2 linked regions of the Caenorhabditis elegans genome follow. The protein of the gene in region 2 purifies or fractionates together with the protein of the main gene of each other region. This does not show direct contact. Each region holds a gene or a part of one and is shown on either strand. Other genes may lie near its edges.

The links.
Region 1: the proteins of C27D6.1 (region 2) and Y37F4.1 fractionate together in Caenorhabditis elegans (co-fractionation; one large-scale study listed by BioGRID). This does not show direct contact.

What each region holds. Positions count from the first base shown.
Region 1 is NC_003279.8:10,854,732-10,862,188, reverse strand, and holds Y37F4.1 (BAR domain-containing protein), read right to left. Parts: upstream 4,103-7,457; 5' UTR 3,544-4,102; intron 3,381-3,543; 5' UTR 3,198-3,380; intron 2,678-3,197; 5' UTR 2,642-2,677; coding exon 2,570-2,641; intron 2,509-2,569; coding exon 2,230-2,508; intron 1,943-2,229; coding exon 1,804-1,942; intron 1,757-1,803; coding exon 1,570-1,756; intron 1,529-1,569; coding exon 1,420-1,528; 3' UTR 1,391-1,419; downstream 1-1,390. Other genes in the region: Y37F4.5 (START domain-containing protein), read left to right, coding at 48-214, 421-584, 682-930; Y37F4.2 (Sec-independent protein translocase protein TatA), read right to left, coding at 4,569-4,669, 6,083-6,154, 6,197-6,254; Y37F4.4 (Signal recognition particle-docking protein FtsY), read left to right, coding at 6,390-6,680.
Region 2 is NC_003280.10:5,169,699-5,179,214, reverse strand, and holds C27D6.1 (uncharacterized protein), read right to left. Parts: upstream 6,465-9,516; coding exon 6,410-6,464; intron 6,366-6,409; coding exon 6,268-6,365; intron 6,219-6,267; coding exon 6,138-6,218; intron 6,090-6,137; coding exon 5,586-6,089; intron 5,506-5,585; exon of another isoform or gene 5,423-5,505; coding exon of another isoform or gene 5,322-5,422; intron 5,275-5,321; coding exon of another isoform or gene 5,019-5,274; exon of another isoform or gene 4,998-5,018; intron 4,816-4,997; exon of another isoform or gene 4,775-4,815; intron 3,546-4,774; coding exon 3,441-3,545; intron 3,387-3,440; coding exon 2,856-3,386; intron 2,810-2,855; coding exon 2,690-2,809; intron 2,636-2,689; coding exon 2,513-2,635; intron 2,470-2,512; coding exon 2,356-2,469; intron 2,141-2,355; coding exon 1,934-2,140; 3' UTR 1,838-1,933; coding exon of another isoform or gene 1,797-1,837; 3' UTR 1,775-1,796; downstream 1-1,774. Other genes in the region: pugs-1 (uncharacterized protein), read left to right, coding at 1,223-1,412, 1,797-1,837; C27D6.3 (uncharacterized protein), read left to right, coding at 5,019-5,274, 5,322-5,422; C27D6.15 (uncharacterized protein), read right to left, coding at 6,713-6,925, 6,967-7,028, 7,071-7,200, 7,252-7,305; srb-1 (Serpentine receptor class beta-1), read left to right, coding at 8,183-8,410, 8,497-8,715, 8,764-8,960, 9,003-9,384.

The DNA of each region.
Region 1 (7,457 bases), on a different chromosome or scaffold from region 2:
TGTACATTTTTCCAACAATATTCACAAATTCCTAATTCAAATTTTAGTAATCATAGTTTCCTCTACTGGAAGTGTGAGAATATGCCACATGGATTTGTTTCATTTAATTTAGTTCCGTTTGCGAAGATGTATGAATCAACGTCCAGTGATAACGAGTATGCTAATGTAGGAATTGTTGCGGGAAATGTTGATACAAGAGCGACTATTTTACCATGTTAGTTTTATTTAACGGCTCCGGAAAAATGAGATGCAAGGTTGAAAACACTTGAAATATTAGAAAAATGATTTATTAGCCAATTGCTCTTTATATAATTTTTCTCGTCTTTACTGATTTCTCATTTATTGAATTTTCCGGGTGAGAGGTAGGGAAGCCGGGAACTTTTTTTCCTTTTAGTACCTATCTATGAAATGATTTTTCAGTGATTGACACATTGATGCACATCATGGGAAGCTCCCTGAATTTGGACTCGATGCTTCCGATCGCTGGATCTTGGATGGGAACTCAGAAAACAAGATCAATTGATTTGGTAGCGACTGCACAGATTGAGTTTGCACTCTATGTTTGCTTGAAGTTGGTTGCAGATGTAAGTTCAACATTTTTTTGAAATGAGTCCTATTACTGGAGTTTTACTATCAAGTCTATTGCGGTTCCTAGTTCTGGATTTCATTTATAATTTCCAGGAAAACACGTTCACAATGATCCCGATCGCTGCGTTGGAAACTGCATGGATGAAATCTTGGATTGAGAATCACGACATTTTCCAGAAATTCTATACATCTACGCGATTGACTTGTCCAGATGACAGAAGAGAACACTGGTACAAAGCGGGACTACAAAAATTGGCTGAAATTCGAGAAACTCTGCAGGAACCAGTCGCTTGCAAGTCAAACAAATTGGATAAGAAGAAAGATGGAAAAAAGGAGAAATAATGTCGAGAAGGTTGAAGCACTGAAGTAGACTATAGCACTTGAGAGAATAAAATGTGATTCATTTCTGTTCTGTTTTCAGCGTAAATTTATTGTTAAAGCTAGGGGTGTTGTGTGGGACGTGATGAGCCACCCCATAGCAACCTTAGCTATTCAAAAAACGTTTCCAAAATGCCATTCGAAAAAAGTGAAATAGCGGGCGAATGTTGAGGCGATGGAGAGGGATAGAATCCGGGTTGCGCGGCAATTGCGTTATTATGGGAGAGATCACATAGTTTCTACATCTTTTCACTAAAATTTAATGAAAAATATTGGGAAAACACATCTCTGCCTGAAATTGTAGAATTACCCGTCGGCAATCGCCGCGCACCTTTTGGTGGAATCAGGGGTGCCTTGTGGCTGATGTGGCTGTAAACTGATGACTAAAATCAAATATAACACATTTGAAGTTGCAAGCAATAAAAATCACATAATTCTTTATTCGGACAAGTTTCATTTGGATTTCAATGGCTTTTCTTTACTCTTTGGCAGTGCTCTATCATCAAATATTGGGATAGCTTCAGCAATGGATTTGTGGAAGAGAATTGAATCGTCACGAAACCTTAAAATTTTTTTTTTTCGGGGAGTAGTTCCAAAACTTACTTCAAAACTGCATCCGCGTGTTTCCCCTTCTGCTCATTAATCGACTTATTGATAAAGTCAATAACCTTCTGTCTGCACTCATTCCTCCATGTCTGAGCATTTCCCGCCGCGAGTTCGGCTTGCTCCGTTCGCTCCTTATTCTGCTGACTGATTGCGTCGTCGTAGGTTTCCAGCGAGAGCCAATAAACTGAAATTTTTTATTTAGATTCATATTATAGACCCTTTTATTCTTACTCTTTCGAAGCCTTGCGTACTCCCAATAGTCGACGCCAATGAATTTTGTCAACGCCGACAAGTTTTCCAGATGCCTTTGGACTTGCTTTGCTTGTATGGAATCCAGATTGAGCAAGGTTTGGATAGCCGGTTCTAAGCTCTGAAATTTGTGTCCTTATTATCAGGTGCCATTCCATAAGCCAAAAAATTGGGGAGCCTAAGCCTGATTACCTGGGCTTAAATGGTTTATTTGAAAAGCCTAAGCCTACATTTTAACATTTAAAAGCCCTTAGCCTAAATTGTTAAGCCTAAAAATCCAAGCCTAGAAAATATACCAAATTTCTTAGGTGCAAAAAAGTCGTTCCAACTTCCTCGATTTTCAACAGGATTCGCTCTAGAAACTGAATGTCGCGTCACTTTTCTGATCAATTCTGCAACTAAACTCACATCCATTTCTTTGGGGTCAACCTTCGTACCCAACTTTCTTCCTTTCTGATTTATCGCCTGATACGTCTTTAGATACTGCCCAGCGTACTGATAATTCGTATCAGCTTTCATAAGTTCCTGATTCTCAACGAACATTTGAATCAGTGCCTGATGAAGTCGATCTGCGGCTTCTTTATAAGCTTCAACTTGATTGCAAAGCTTCTTCACGTCATCAGTCATCGAAAACAAGCGATTCTTTTTCTTCAGAATCGACGAAAATACACCGTGATTTGGATGGTCCTGAAAACTCTCTTTTTTTTTCGGTTTCGGATTTCGGTTTCGGAGGCATCCAAAAACTTACAGCTAATCCATAAAATAATTTCTGAGCGATTGGCTTTTCATAGCAGCTACTCGTACTCTTCTTGTTTGCCATTAAAAATATAAAATAACTGAGATTGAGATTTCATGTCTGATAAACAAGTATGTTTGTCATCATAAAATGTGTCACGTAACAAAGCAATTTAAATTAGTAATTTTTTGTTTTATTTTTAACATTTTTTAGAAAATATTTGTGATTGAAATTTTGTGAAAAAATTTGAAATTTTTGCTTACTATTAGCTCCGTGTTTTACCAGTTAAATTGCTCCAAAGGCGGTTTTTGAAATTTTCTGTGGAAACTTTCTATTCAACAAAAAATCTAAACAGTTCTCTGGAAATTGTTCTATAGTTTTATGTATTATATTATTTAAAATTTTTATTATTTTTTTATTATATTATTTTAAAATCCGGGTTTGCAGATTTTATCATTTTTAAGATTAATATAAACCTACTGATTGACAAATTCCAAAATCTTAAATTTGTTTAACTGTACGCTTTTTAACATTTTCATACTTCTTGAACAATTTCAAATCATTTTTCTAGACAAATTTGCATGAGGCTTTCCCTATATATGTATTTTGAAAACTAAAATATAATATAAAGCGTTTATACCTTTTAACTACAGTATCCAAAAACATGATAAATATAGAAATTTGGATAACTTTTTGCTTTATTATGAAGCAATTTCATTCAGAGTCCAAATTTTAATTCTCCCACAATATTCAATCAGTGGCCGCTTACACATTAGCAGTGAAATGTTAGTCAGCAACTACATATCCTGTGGTCTGAGATAATCTGTACATGGAAAAATTAATCTAATTGTATGTAAGTGTCAAATCTTTCCCTCTTTGAATATGATATTTGATCCTTATGATTCAAACCAAAACGTTTCCCTTCTTTTCCTATTCATATGATTCACGCCAACCCCAATATCATTATAATTCGATTAAAAACAGACCTATATAAGTTCCTTCTTTTATATTATATTATATAATACCAATGCTTCCTTTCTAGATGTAGACCGCTATCTTCCCCTTTTCTTCTCTTTAATTGTAATTCAGTATTATATTCTTCTAAATAAATTAATCTCAAGAATTCATTTCTTGATAGTAAGTAAATAAAATAAATAATTCAAGCAGAAACAGACGACTATAGCATGAAGCACCCCCGGAAACCAGCAGAGGATGCAGAAACAAAGGTTGAGCCAAACTGACAGAGAGCATCTTTCCTCTTTCACGTAGACGGCGATTGGCGGAAAAATTAAAATGAGCAGAATGTAACAACACGGGCCGGTTTCTTTCATTTCAGCAAGATAGTGTTGCACAAAATATGAAAAATTAAGTTGTTTGGACAACCTTATATACTGGAGGAGTCTGTTAACGGTCATAAACCGGTGCCACAGCTTATGGTTAAACATCATGCAAAAACACTTTGATTGTGTGCTAAAGCATTTATTGAGTCGTTGCTGTGCCAGACGACGAGAGTCTTACTTTCGTCCGGCGCCAGCAGGCAAGGTCTTTCTCGACTGAGGATGTTATTCTCTAGTCGGCTTATATACTCGTGAGGGCGTGACGCTCCCTGCTCAGAGGCCGCGTGGGCGTTAGAGTCATGCGCTTTATGCACGTCTCCAAAGTCCACTCAGTGCAACATGAGAAGTGATCATAGAACACTTCCACAAGTCTATAAACTTTCAGCATCCGTGAAGATAAACTTTTCTTGATTTCAGATATTTTTGTTTAATAATTTGAACTGTAGATTTAAGAAAAAGTAAAATAAGTGCAAGATTGCTTTCTAAAGGGATCTCGAACTTAACACAATTTGGACTTCTTGCTGAAGTTATGAATTGATGGGTTTACCCTGCAACTGAGCCAACGCAACATTTTCAGTGCAAAAAACACATTTTTGGTTTTTTTTATTTCAAAAAAATATTTATAACTATCAACAATGTGACTAAAATAAACTTATAAATTATTTTTTCAGCAACTAGTAGTCTGATTCAGAACTATCGTCTTTTTCATCCGAAACTTCGTCCGGTTCCGTTGGATTGCCCATTAGCTCAGCTATTTTTCGAATTTGCTCTATTTCTGGAAAAACTTTATTGAATTATTGGGACTAAACTTTTAAAATTAAAAATCAAAAATCAAAAAACTTTTTTTAAATCGATTTTTCTACATACCATTTCTTGAATTGAGTATCCTTTTTCCTACATAGCAAAGCTTTTTAAAAGTTCAAATTTGTTTGTAAACCTTCAATTAAAAAAAAAATTTTTAAGACTAGCGCACAAAGTGCGCTATCCCTTCGGGAGTGGGGATAGGGTTATTTCGCTCTAAAGTATCAACAAGGTAGCTGGCGCAGGTTCTCGGCTTTGCCTCAAACCTGTGTTGGGGTTAAGTGTGTTCACCTTGAAATTCAAAATATATTCCAAAGATTTGTTTCTAATTTAATATTTTGAAAAATCATTTAGCGGCTCCGGCGCTTTAGTTTTCAGTTCCTCTAAGATTAAAGAAATATTCTAAGGAGTTGTTTCACATTGAAATATTCTTAAAAATTATTTGGGCGCTAAGTTGAATCTTCTCTAAGATTAGAAAAATATTCTAAGGAGTTGTTCTAAATTCAAAAATTCCTAAGAGTTATCAGCGCCTTCGGCGCTGAATTTTTCAAAGTTTCTGAAATAAAGAAACATACTAAGGAGTTGTTTCTAATTTAAAACTTTGAAGACTTATTCAGCGCCTTCGTCGCTGATTTGAACTATTTCTAAGATTGATGGAATATGCTAAGGAGTTGTTTCTAATTTAAAAATTTTGAATAATTATTTAGCGCCCTGGGCGCTGAATTTTCAGTTTCTCTAAGATGAAAGAAATATGCTGAAAAGATTTTTCAATTTTAAAAAGAAAATGTAAAAACATAAAAGATATTTCGAAAACTTTGATGAGGAGATGAAATGTTAGTTTTTTTTCATAACTTTTTCATTTTTAAAGCTGGAAAAAAATCTTACATATTTGAATTCAGCGTCAAATTCTGAGTCTATTAAAAAAAACAGAATTAAAATTAAACTTAAACAAACCAATTAACAAACGCTCAAAGTTGAAAAATCAAAAATCAAAAAAGGCATTATTTTTCTATTCGGTCGATTATCTCTGTGATGTATGACTCGATTTTCAAAATTTTTTTCGTCTCTCGCTTAAGAAATCTTCAAGGTTTCATATATTTGGCTCAGAATCAGAATAGCTCAAACGACGGCAAAGTTATGAGAGGGAAAAAAAAAGTTTTTGAACAAAAAATTACAGTACACCTACCGTTTACCACCTACAGTACCCTACCGTTTATCACATACAGTACTCCTACAGTATAATATAGGAAGAAGGCAGAAACATCTCAAATCTCAAAAACCCAATACTGAAGCTGCTAAAAATTCATCTGCCCGGAATCTGAATCATCGGTACCAAAAATTCACATTTTATTATACAAAGTATTTAAAAATTTATACAAAAATTCACCATTTTCCGATAATTTCGCTTTGTTTCCAACAACTTCCACTTTTATTTTCAGATTTCCCTCATATTCGACACCTGAAAATTTTTTTTTCTGAATTAAGAAAAAGTAAAACCCACCACCAACTTTGCTCCAGTTCTCGCGAAAAAGTAGACTATGAATACCTATAAAAAGCATTATTTTCTATTTAAAAGTTGAATTTAATGTGATGAATATATAAGCTTATCTGTTTCCATGACAACCATTTCCTGAATAAAAATTCAAGGATTAAAAAGGAAAATTTAACCGATTTTTACTTGCAAAATAATGAAAATGATGCTCCAAAAAGCACATGAAGTACTAGAAGCACTCGTTCTACTAGGACAAAAACTAAGAAAAGAAGTTCATCCCAACGCTGATGAGCAACAACCAACTGTTCCGGCTCCTGCTGCAACACCAGCTCAAATCGAGCAACAGCCAGAAGTTCCGGCTCCAGCTCCAACAGTTCCAGATGTTCAACAGCCTGTCCTGGTTCCAGAAACTGCTCAACTCGTTCCACCATCAGCTACTCTTTTTTATTTCATAAAACTGTTCAGCATAGTCAAAAATACCAGAATATGCTAATCAAAGTATAATAGCTAGTACGGAAGTATTTTTTAAAAAATTTATAAAAATTTATAAAAGCTGATTTTTTCAAAAATTCAAAAGTCCTGGAAAATCATAAGGAGTCATTCTTTTTTGTATTTTTGACTATGCTGAACAGTTTTTTGAGATAAAAAAGAATGACTCCATATGATTTTCCCATACTTTTGAATTTTTGAAAAAATCAGCTTTTATATATTTTTATCAATTTTTTAAAAAATACTTCCGTACAAACTATTATAATTTGATAGGCATATTCTGGTATTCTTGACTATGCTGAACAGTTTTTTGAGATAAAAAAGAATGACTCCATATGGTTTTCCCATACTTTTGAATTTTTGAAAAAATCAGCTTTTATATATTTTTATCAATTTTCTAAAAAATACTTCCGTACAAGCTAATATACTCTGTTTGGTATTTGCTGGTATTCTTGACTATGCTGAACAGTTTTTTGAGATAAAAAAGAATGACTCCATATGATTTTCCCATACTTTTGAATTTTTGAAAAAATCAGCTTTTATATATTTTTATCAATTTTCTAAAAAATACTTCCGTACAAGCTAATATACTCTGTTTGGTATTTGCTGGTATTTTTGACTATGCCGAACAGTTTTTTAAGATAAAAAAGAATGATTCCATATGATTTTCCCATACTTTTGAATTTTTGAAAAAATCAGCTTTTATATATTTTTATCAATTTTCTAAAAAATACTTCCGTACAAGCTAATATACTCTGTTTGGTATTTGCTGGTGTTTTTG
Region 2 (9,516 bases):
ACTGATCGGTTTCTATTAATTTCTTCTTGTTGATTTTACTCTTTCTTGGGACACTGATTCTACCTCCTTGCATAATTACCCATCTATATGCTTCCTTTTTATGTAATTTTCATGAAAATACAACCACCCACTCCATCACATTCTGCTCCCTCAAATGTTATAGATATAAATTATTGATTTTAAATTTTTTTTCTGAGGTTTCTTGTACATTCCAGAAATTTACAGAGAGCAATGTATTTCATTAAACACGACTAGAGAAATTAAACTAAAACTACGAGCTGATTATGAACAGTTAAAACCTAGGAACAGGAATGGTTATAAGTTGTCTTTTAAAAACTCGTAGCATGCAAATACGAATACCATATACCAAAAATACGGTCGCCGGTCTCGACACGACAAATGTATTGTATAATGCAAAAAGGTGTGCGCCTTTAAACAGTACTGTAGTTTCGAAATTTCGTTTCTAAGGAATTTTCATAGATTTTGCTTAGTTCTTCGCACGATTTGTCAACGTTCCTTGTTTTGTTTTAGGTTCAAAACAATTGTATCGAACAATTGTTGAAAATCGATGAAAATTTCGCAGCAACGAAATTTTGAAAGTACAGTACCCTTTAAAGGCCCAGACCTTTTTTGTTTGAAAAAAATTGTCGTATCGAGACCGGATACCGTATTTTCGATACAAAATCATATATTATACTTTTCCGAAAATCTTCAATACCGATTACAGTAATTTATTGTCTTTGTGGTGAGACCTTTGCGCGTAAGATAGTGCGAAGAGTTCCATTTTTAGACGACAATGTAATATTTATATATATTTGAAATATTTGAAAGACATTTTCAGAGTCATAATGAAAATGAATAATTCGAAAATCTCTTAAAACATTCCAGTATATTCGTATTTTAGTGATTCAGTCTGTTTGGTATCGCATATTATTTTAATCCGAATATCCCGATGATTGTGCGCAGTCCTTGTACTCTGGTCGATCCCATATATAAATTTGTGTTTTTAACGAAAAAAATGTTAACCCCTCGGCCTCCGCCCCAATGAGTAAATGACACGGATATAAAATCGAAACTAGTCGGATCATCCTCACAATATTTTGCCGACAGTATTCATGACTCTTTTCTAGTTTAAATTTTCTCTTTTTTTTCTGATTCAAATTCATTTTTCTTTGATTTAACACATTTTTTGAATGATAAATTTCAGATTATCCAACAAGAAATGCTTTTCCGATTCTTTTTATTAATTGTCGCTATCCTCACCATTGTGAATGCAGGCGAGCCAGAACATGGAGCTCCTCCACCAAATGGAACAGATATGGGAAATGATACAATGCTAGAAGCACGAGCTGGGGGACCACCAATGGATGGTATGAATGGAACTGTTGTTCAAGAGAATGGAAACAAGACTGGTAAGTATAAGGTTTTATTTTACATACCGTTTTTCTTCTATCAGTAATATGACACACTATATAACTTTGCAAGGTAATCTCGGTTCATTTCAAATATGTCATTTTAGAAATAACAGCAAAACGATAAAAAATAAATAATAGATATTTTATCAGTTGACAGTTTTTGACTAGAACAAACTGCAATTGAGATATAAGCTGTCAAAGTTAAGAGAAAATATGGTACCTCCACGTAGATGCCTGCTGCCTAAAATCGTGCCTACTGCAAAAGCTGAAAAATTTTTAAATCAAGCAGGCACGTGCGCCTAAAAATGTGCTATATGTGACTGTAAATTGCAAAATAAAGATTCAAATACATTTGTATTGATTTTAAAGTTTTATTTACAGGAGGAGTGATGGATTGGATCAAATCAAAGCTTGGAAAGTAGACAAATACAACTGAACTTCTCATTTATGCAATTACTTTTGTAATATTTAATATTGGAAGAAATGAATGTTAAGTTAAAAATTAATTGAATGCAAAATTACAAAACAGGACTCAATCCTGTTATGGAAGTTTGAGATTTGGCGCGAAAATTCTCAATCGGTGGAACTTTTTTCATGGGCGACGATTTTTCGGTTTTCGGGATGTTTCTTTTTTCCCATTTCGCAATTATCGATCGGATTCGTTCTCCTTCTTTCTTTTCTCGTTCCAGTTGACGAATTCGAGCGTCTTGTTCGTTCATTCGCTTCTGAAATTAGAGGTTTACAGTGGATTCTAGAAAAAAATGTTTTGACTAGATACAGGGAAATCCTAGAGTGTTTTAGAAACTTGGCAACTTGCCAAATAAAAAAACACAAGATCGCACCCAGTGATTTGCGGCTCATTTAAAAAAAAATCAAATCAGAGAAATACAATTTTCCTAATTGTTGTGTTTTGCAAAAGTTAAAACACTTTTTTTCATACCTTTAGATTGGTCTTCTCAATATCCGCTGCTTTCAGTGTCTCAATGGTCATTGTTGCCAAAAGATCCTTATTCAATTTATCCATTTTATCAATTGTTTTCAGAGTATGTCGCTCCTGTAAAACAATAAGTTAATATTTTTCCAAATCAAACTTCTACTTGAATAATCTTTGCTGCAGCTGCCACTGGCGAAGCTGGCTGTTTTTTGTCGGAACCGCCACCGCTTTTCCCTGATTGAAAATCTTTTCTCACACTTTGAAGTCCACGGAAAATGTTTTCAGACTGAAAATTGTAACAATTTCCAGAGATTGCTAACTGGTTTTAAGGAGAACTCACAATCAATCTATTCTCATTGACTACAACTCGATAGACAGACTCTTGAGCAATAAGTTCTTCAATTCGATCAAAAATTGCATCGAATACGCCTCCAACATTAACATTTAACAGTTGAGATACCTGGAAATTAAACAATTGAAAATATTTCTAAAAAACTAGATTTTACTTTGGAAATACAGTTTTCTAGAGATGCAATTTTATGCTCCAAATTCTTCCGTTCTAGATCACTTGCCAACAATTCTTGCTCAAGCTCCTCAATTTTCTCCATCGATTTTGAGTATTCTTCTTCTGAAACTCTTGCTCTAAAAAGAGCATTTCTTTGTTGTTTTGCCTGCTCCAAGAGAACTCCTTCAGCATTTGATGCTGCCTTTTCAGCCTCAAATCGTTTTGTCTGTTCAGTATCTCGTTCACGGACAAGATCTCGGATAGTTCTTTTCACATTATTTTCGGTTGCCTCTTCTTCGGAATTCAACAAAACTGTGAGAGTTTCCAATAGACTTTTTCGCTCGGTTTCAGCAGATTTCAAAAGAATTATATTATTTTTATTAGATTGAGACATTTCCTGAGAATAGGAACGAAGGCAGCGAATTTCAGCTTTAAGCATTTCAAGTTCCATTTTCTGCTCGTTTATTAAAGAGTTTAGTAGAGTGACATCATGGTTTATACGATTTTCATGGTCTTGGCGGATTGCTATTTCCTAGAAAAATTAAAATTTAGTTATAGAAATAATTACTTAAGTTGAGCAACTTACTTTTTTGCAGATTCCTTGAATTTCTCTACTCTGCTCTTTGTTAATTTCCAAGTGATCCATCAAGGTGGAAACATGGTTCTGATTAACAGTCAATGAAGATGATAACTGAAAATATTTAATTGATGGATCACATATCTGGAATTTCGTAATTTTTCAGATGTTCACACAATAATTTCTCACTACAGAAACGTAGCGGATCTCGAAAAAACAAATCTCGAAAAATGTTTTTTTTTTGTGATGGGACAACCTGGCATCATCTGTCCTCCACTAGCAGGCTTGTGCAACTGATGAGGAGCACTGAAAGAGGTGAAGCGGGCTTATATTCTCCAAATACCGAATACTCAAGCAAGGAAAACTCGAGGAGGCATCGCAAGAAACATTTTTACTTTCGACTTAGCTTATTGCCACTTGGCAGAAAGCATAAAAATAAATGTTCTAAACTCTCCACAATCTGGATTCTGGAAGCTATTGAAAATATGATTGAGGGTCTAATATATGATTGATAAGCCGGAAGTACGTTGAAAATTATTGGGAAAATATTGCAAATTCAGGCACCGGACGTCCGACTTTGTCCGGTCCTATCCTAATGATTCCCAAAAAGTAAAATTCTTAAGTTGTAACTTAAGTTGTTAAGACAATTTTTCAAATAGTTTATTGAATGCATTTTCAAAAGGATTCATTATTTTATTCTGTTCAGCAAAAGGTTCAAGAAGTATTGGGATGGTGACAGTTCCAGCCGGCTGAACAGCTGCGAAGGCGGCTTGTGCATTGGCAAAGTGAATGACAAGCTTGTCCTCTTTTAGAGCACCAGATTTGCTCATGAATATGAGCTTGTCAGCTCCACCATTGACGAGCTTGTGGGTTGATGTACCTCCGGCGGCAGGCACTGTGCATGCTGGTGGATTGGTAGTCTTTGAACACCGTATCACATCCGGTGTTCGGTTTCATTGATCCATCTGGAACCACGGATGTCGTCATCACTTGTACTGCTGGTGCTCCAAAAGATGACAAGCTTGTCATTCACTTTCCCATATCTCCAGCCAATGCCACTGATGCTCAAGCCGAGACATGTTGTCGCTACGGTGGAAGGTGCTTCTAGGAAGACTGATTGAATTTGCAAGATTTCAAAGAATATATACCCTGATCTTATAAAAATTTAAAATTCACGAATATATTATTTTAATAAAAATTGAAAAATATTAATTTCTTCAAAGTCAGAAAAGGTCAATTTTAAAACGTGGAAACACTTATAATCGTAACCTTGTTTTTTTTTGAATTATTTTGTTCACAAATCATACAATAAAAAAAAATCAAACATAATTTATTCCTTAACAACAGTTTCGTTGGGAACTGGTTTCTCTGAGAAGCCTATAAGGTGAGTTATTTATTTCAATTATGGCGTCTTTGGAGTAAAGGCATGGAGGAAAGTCGCCTGCCGTGCCTTTTGCCTATTGCTTCCTGTCGTTTCGCGGGTTGCGCTGTCACTGTGCAATGGCGGCCGGCTTTGATGCTAACTCGTGCTCCGAAGTAAAGAAAAACTAATCCTTGTATTTTCAGAGAAACAAAAAACATTGAGAAATGGCGGACGACAATGTTTCATTCACGGATCAAGGGACTGCTGTCGGAGATGAGAAGAAGAAAGGAGGATCTTCTGCAATGCTTGACATGCTCGGACAGTTGGAAAAGAAGGAGACAAAGAAGAAAGGAAAGAAGAACAAGAAGAGCAAGAAGAAGGCGAAGAAGGGAAAGACCAAGAAGGTTCGAAAAGCAGACAAGTACGAGTCTCAAAACTTTCTGTTTCGAGTGGAAGGAGCCATGTTCTGTGCGGGAATTAGTTAGTTTTCAAGAAAAAGTTAAAAATTTATCAATTCAAACTTTCAGTCGTTGCTATGATTATGCTGTTCGTCATCATTATCTACGGAATAATCACTTCAAGTCAAACTGGAGGACAGTTCAACAGATACATGGCCCCACTATTCTGATTGGATCAGGACAGAGAAATGGCGCAAGAGACAAGTCGGCTTACTTTTTTGGTGCACATTTTAAGCACAATAAATTCATTTATAAAGCCCGGTGTTTTATTTATTTATTGCTATTATTGAGTAAATACTCAATCAGAGAAAATATTTAATTATTTCAACTAACCTGTTGCAATTTCTCTTTTAAAATCTCATTTTCCTGCTTCAAACTTATGCATTTCTCTTGATACTTCACAATTTCTTGCTCCAAAACGTCCATGTTGAATTGACTTAGACTTCCATCTTGTTCTTCATCCGGGTTTTGGAAGTATTCTTCATCCAAATTGAGAGTTGAGACAACCTTTTGATGAAACGTTTTTTGTGAATTCTCAATTTCTTCTAGCTTTTTCTGAACTTCATTCAGTTCTTCAACGAGTTGTTTATTTTGAATTTCCATTTCCTGACTTTTAACCTGCCATTCTTCTTTTGCTTGCACAGTTTCTGCCAGTTCAAGTTCTAATTCTGGGAGCCGTTTCGAGTTTCGTGTCGCCCGATCTTTCCATTTTTCAGCTTCAGCTTCAATCTCTTTCCGAGCTTTTTCATTCGCCTTGAGCCGTCGTTCCAAACTTTCCAACTTCACTTTTGTTTGTCGCTCTGAGCGGTTTTCACGGATGGTATAGGTAGCGGCTACCTGAAAAACTTTATGGAATACGTGTAAAACCGTTGTAAATGTGCTCACTGAATCAGGTGACCGAAGATCCTCACGCGACATAGAAGCATCACCCGCTCGTTTATATGGTGAAGTTCGAGGACGTAGAGTCTGTAACGAAAATTTAAAAAATTGCAGAAACCCTATCTTTTTCACTCACTGTTGTTATTTTATTGCCACGAATGTTCAATGTAGATGTGACCAGAGCTTCTGATGATAAATCTAATTGATGGATTGATTCCGAAGCGGGATTTGATCCTAAATATGGTTAAAATGATACAATTTCCCAACTTCTGAATTACCAATTTCTTCATGATCTTCTTCGACAGCATTAACAGCAGCTTTAACCTCTTCCATAATTCAAAGTAGTGTTTTATTCCTAAACTTAAAGACAAGTAGTTGGAGAATATGAAATTAAGTTTAAAAGATGTCGAGGACACCTCACAATTTGCCTGTGCAATGAGCCAGCTGGTAATTGGGTGCGAACGAGAGGAAACTGGTGAAATGAAGGAGAATTTGCATAAGTAAGTGAACAGGAAGTGGGGTTTGTAGAATATTAACTTTATAAAGTTGTTGAAACTTGACAATTAGGGTTCATGTGAAAATTATATAGATTTAAATCCTGTAAATACAAATCCAGTCGAACTGTTTGTGCTCTGGAAATTAAATATGTGAAGTTCCAAGGAAAATATGTTTACTTTTTCAATAAAAATTTCTTTTTCCATTTTAAATAGCACATTATTGATCTTATAGCTGATTGTAATCAATGATTGAATCTTTCCATTTGGTGTAGATGTTGGCTCGAAAATTGTGAATATCTAAAAAAGAATCAAATCTGGAATGTCCAAAAAGCACTCACCTTGAAGCTGGTTTTAAACTCATTATCACCCATTAAAGCAAAAACATTGTTCGGTGACAGAACTAAAAACATGAATCATTATTTATGAATCAATAAACTATAACTTTTAAAATACATTTTGGTTGAAAAATGGTGTCCAATATCACTTGCTTCTGTTCGAAAAGCTGACGAAATTGGTAAACCCGCATGTTGGTCAAGTATTCTGCGAGAGTTTGAAGTTGTAGATTCACAATTCTGAAAATTTTGAAACTACTGAAAAGTTAATTTCCTCAAATTTAAGCTCACTGAAACCGATTCACTCTCGTTAACTTGTTTTCTGAATTTGCTAGGGGAAAACATGTTTGAATAAAAATATAAGTGAAGATGAACCTTCTAATATTCAACATTACTCTTATTTTTAAATGTTAAATGGCAGCGAAAACGATGTATGTGATAGCTATAGCTATTTTATTGTTCCAACGGTTCAATAAAATATTCCGTAAAAAACTGTGGACAATGGGTATAAAAACTATTATTCTAATACAAAAAAATCTCACGACATTTCAGGAAAAAATTTGAATTGAATTTTTCGGATTTTTCATATATGAAATAATGCCTGAGTATCCCGCCTAATTTTTATAGTTTCAGACATTAAAAAAATGAAAAACTACTATTGTAATTGGCTTTAGCATATCAAAAGCGCACATTGCGAAATAACTGAGCTGAGAGATTTCACCCTTTTTTGCTTATTTTTTATCATGATATAAATACATGCTGAATCCGACTTCAATATTGTTTTTTTCATAAGAATTCCGAAGAAAGATCTCCCACAATCAAGGTTTTCAATTGGGATGTCTGTAAAATTACATTTTTTATTGCAGCAGTTTTTTACAGTGTTTATTATTTACCAAGAACTCATATTGTTCTTTTTCAATTTGCAATGAATGACAGAAATCACTAAATTAAGATATGACATGAACGTGAGCTGCAGCTCCCAGACTTGAAAAAATCTTCTAGCTCAATATCAACAGCTGACTTTGATTTATTGAGATTTCCTAAAATAAATAGTATGAATTTTTGGAAATAGAATTTATACTTATTCCCGTACAATACGTTTTGATTAATTTGCTCTAAATCGGAAGTTGGCAAACATTTTTGGTTTAAAAACAGCTCAAAGCAAAGCATTTGTATATTTATTGTTGCTATTGTTGTTCTTCGTTTCATTGAAAAATTGAAAATGAATATCGAAAACAAATGTGATTTGGCCTTCGAAGTCACCTATCATCCATTATATCGGGCTGCTCAATTCTGGACTTTTATTTTTTCAACTCTAGCAGTTCCTGCACTTTTTATTTTTCTATTGAAGCAAATTTTTCCACTTCCATTTCATGGGAATATAAAATTTATGTTAATTTCTTATTTTTTGTCCGCTTTTTTGTTCGCAGTTGTTCTGGCTCTAACGTTTGTAAGTTGATGATAGTTCCATAGTTTTAACAAATAAGAGGCTCAACAGTAACACAAGTTCTTGTGAAGTTTTTCTAAATTTTTCAGGGCTATCACATACTGGTTCCACTATTCATCACCTCAAAATGTGATTTAATAATTCAGCCATATTTATTTAAAGTTGGTCAATTATCCTTAACTTTGTTTATTACTCTTCAAATGATAATGCCGTTTGGATTTTCAATTGAAAGAATAATTGCGTTACGCATGGCTAAAAGTTATGAAAATGTTCGTACAGTATTAGGACCACTTTTGATTTTTGTATTGGTAAGTTACGTTTTAAATCTTACTTTTGTTATAACACAAATTTGTCAGATTGGAATTGATCTGATATTACTTTTTACGGTTTTTCGAGACGAAAGTTTTAATGATAGTTTCATTTCATTTATTCTCATTCCTGCAACTACTGCACAGACGTTTAATAGTTATTGCTGGATTCTTCTATATGCGGAACTTGGAAATTTACTTTGTAATTGCATAATTCTTCTGGTTCACAGCAAATTCAAAACAAAGTGAGTTCATTCTAAAATAGGTGTTCGAAATTTTATATTAAGATTTCTCCATCAACAACGATCTTTGTCTGTACGATATGAACTAGAAGAAATATCCCAAACTTCAAAATTCACGCTTATTGTTAGTTTCACACATATTCTATTTATTGGATGGTATCTTGGTGTAACAATTTTCATAAGAACTGTTGGGGAAACATTTTTTGGTAGTTATATCAACTACACAGTGGCCAGAGGTGTTTACATCAGTGTACCAACATATAATCTAACTATAGTTTTTGTTGGAATCAAGGCATTAAGTTTTATGAATCTGAAAAGGCAAAATAATGTTCAAAGTAAAGTTCAAATCAAATCGACAGGATCAGAAGGAGCTCGAAATTATGAAAATGCAATCGCAAGTTATTGGAATTCTGTGTCGAAAGCTTAGATGTGTTCAACTGTTTCAATTTTTTTGTTCAAACTTTCAATTAAATTGCAAATATTTTTTGAAATATGTACTACGTATTAGTTTTACCAATAAAATGTTTCAATATATGCATAATCTTCTCCTAAAATTGTT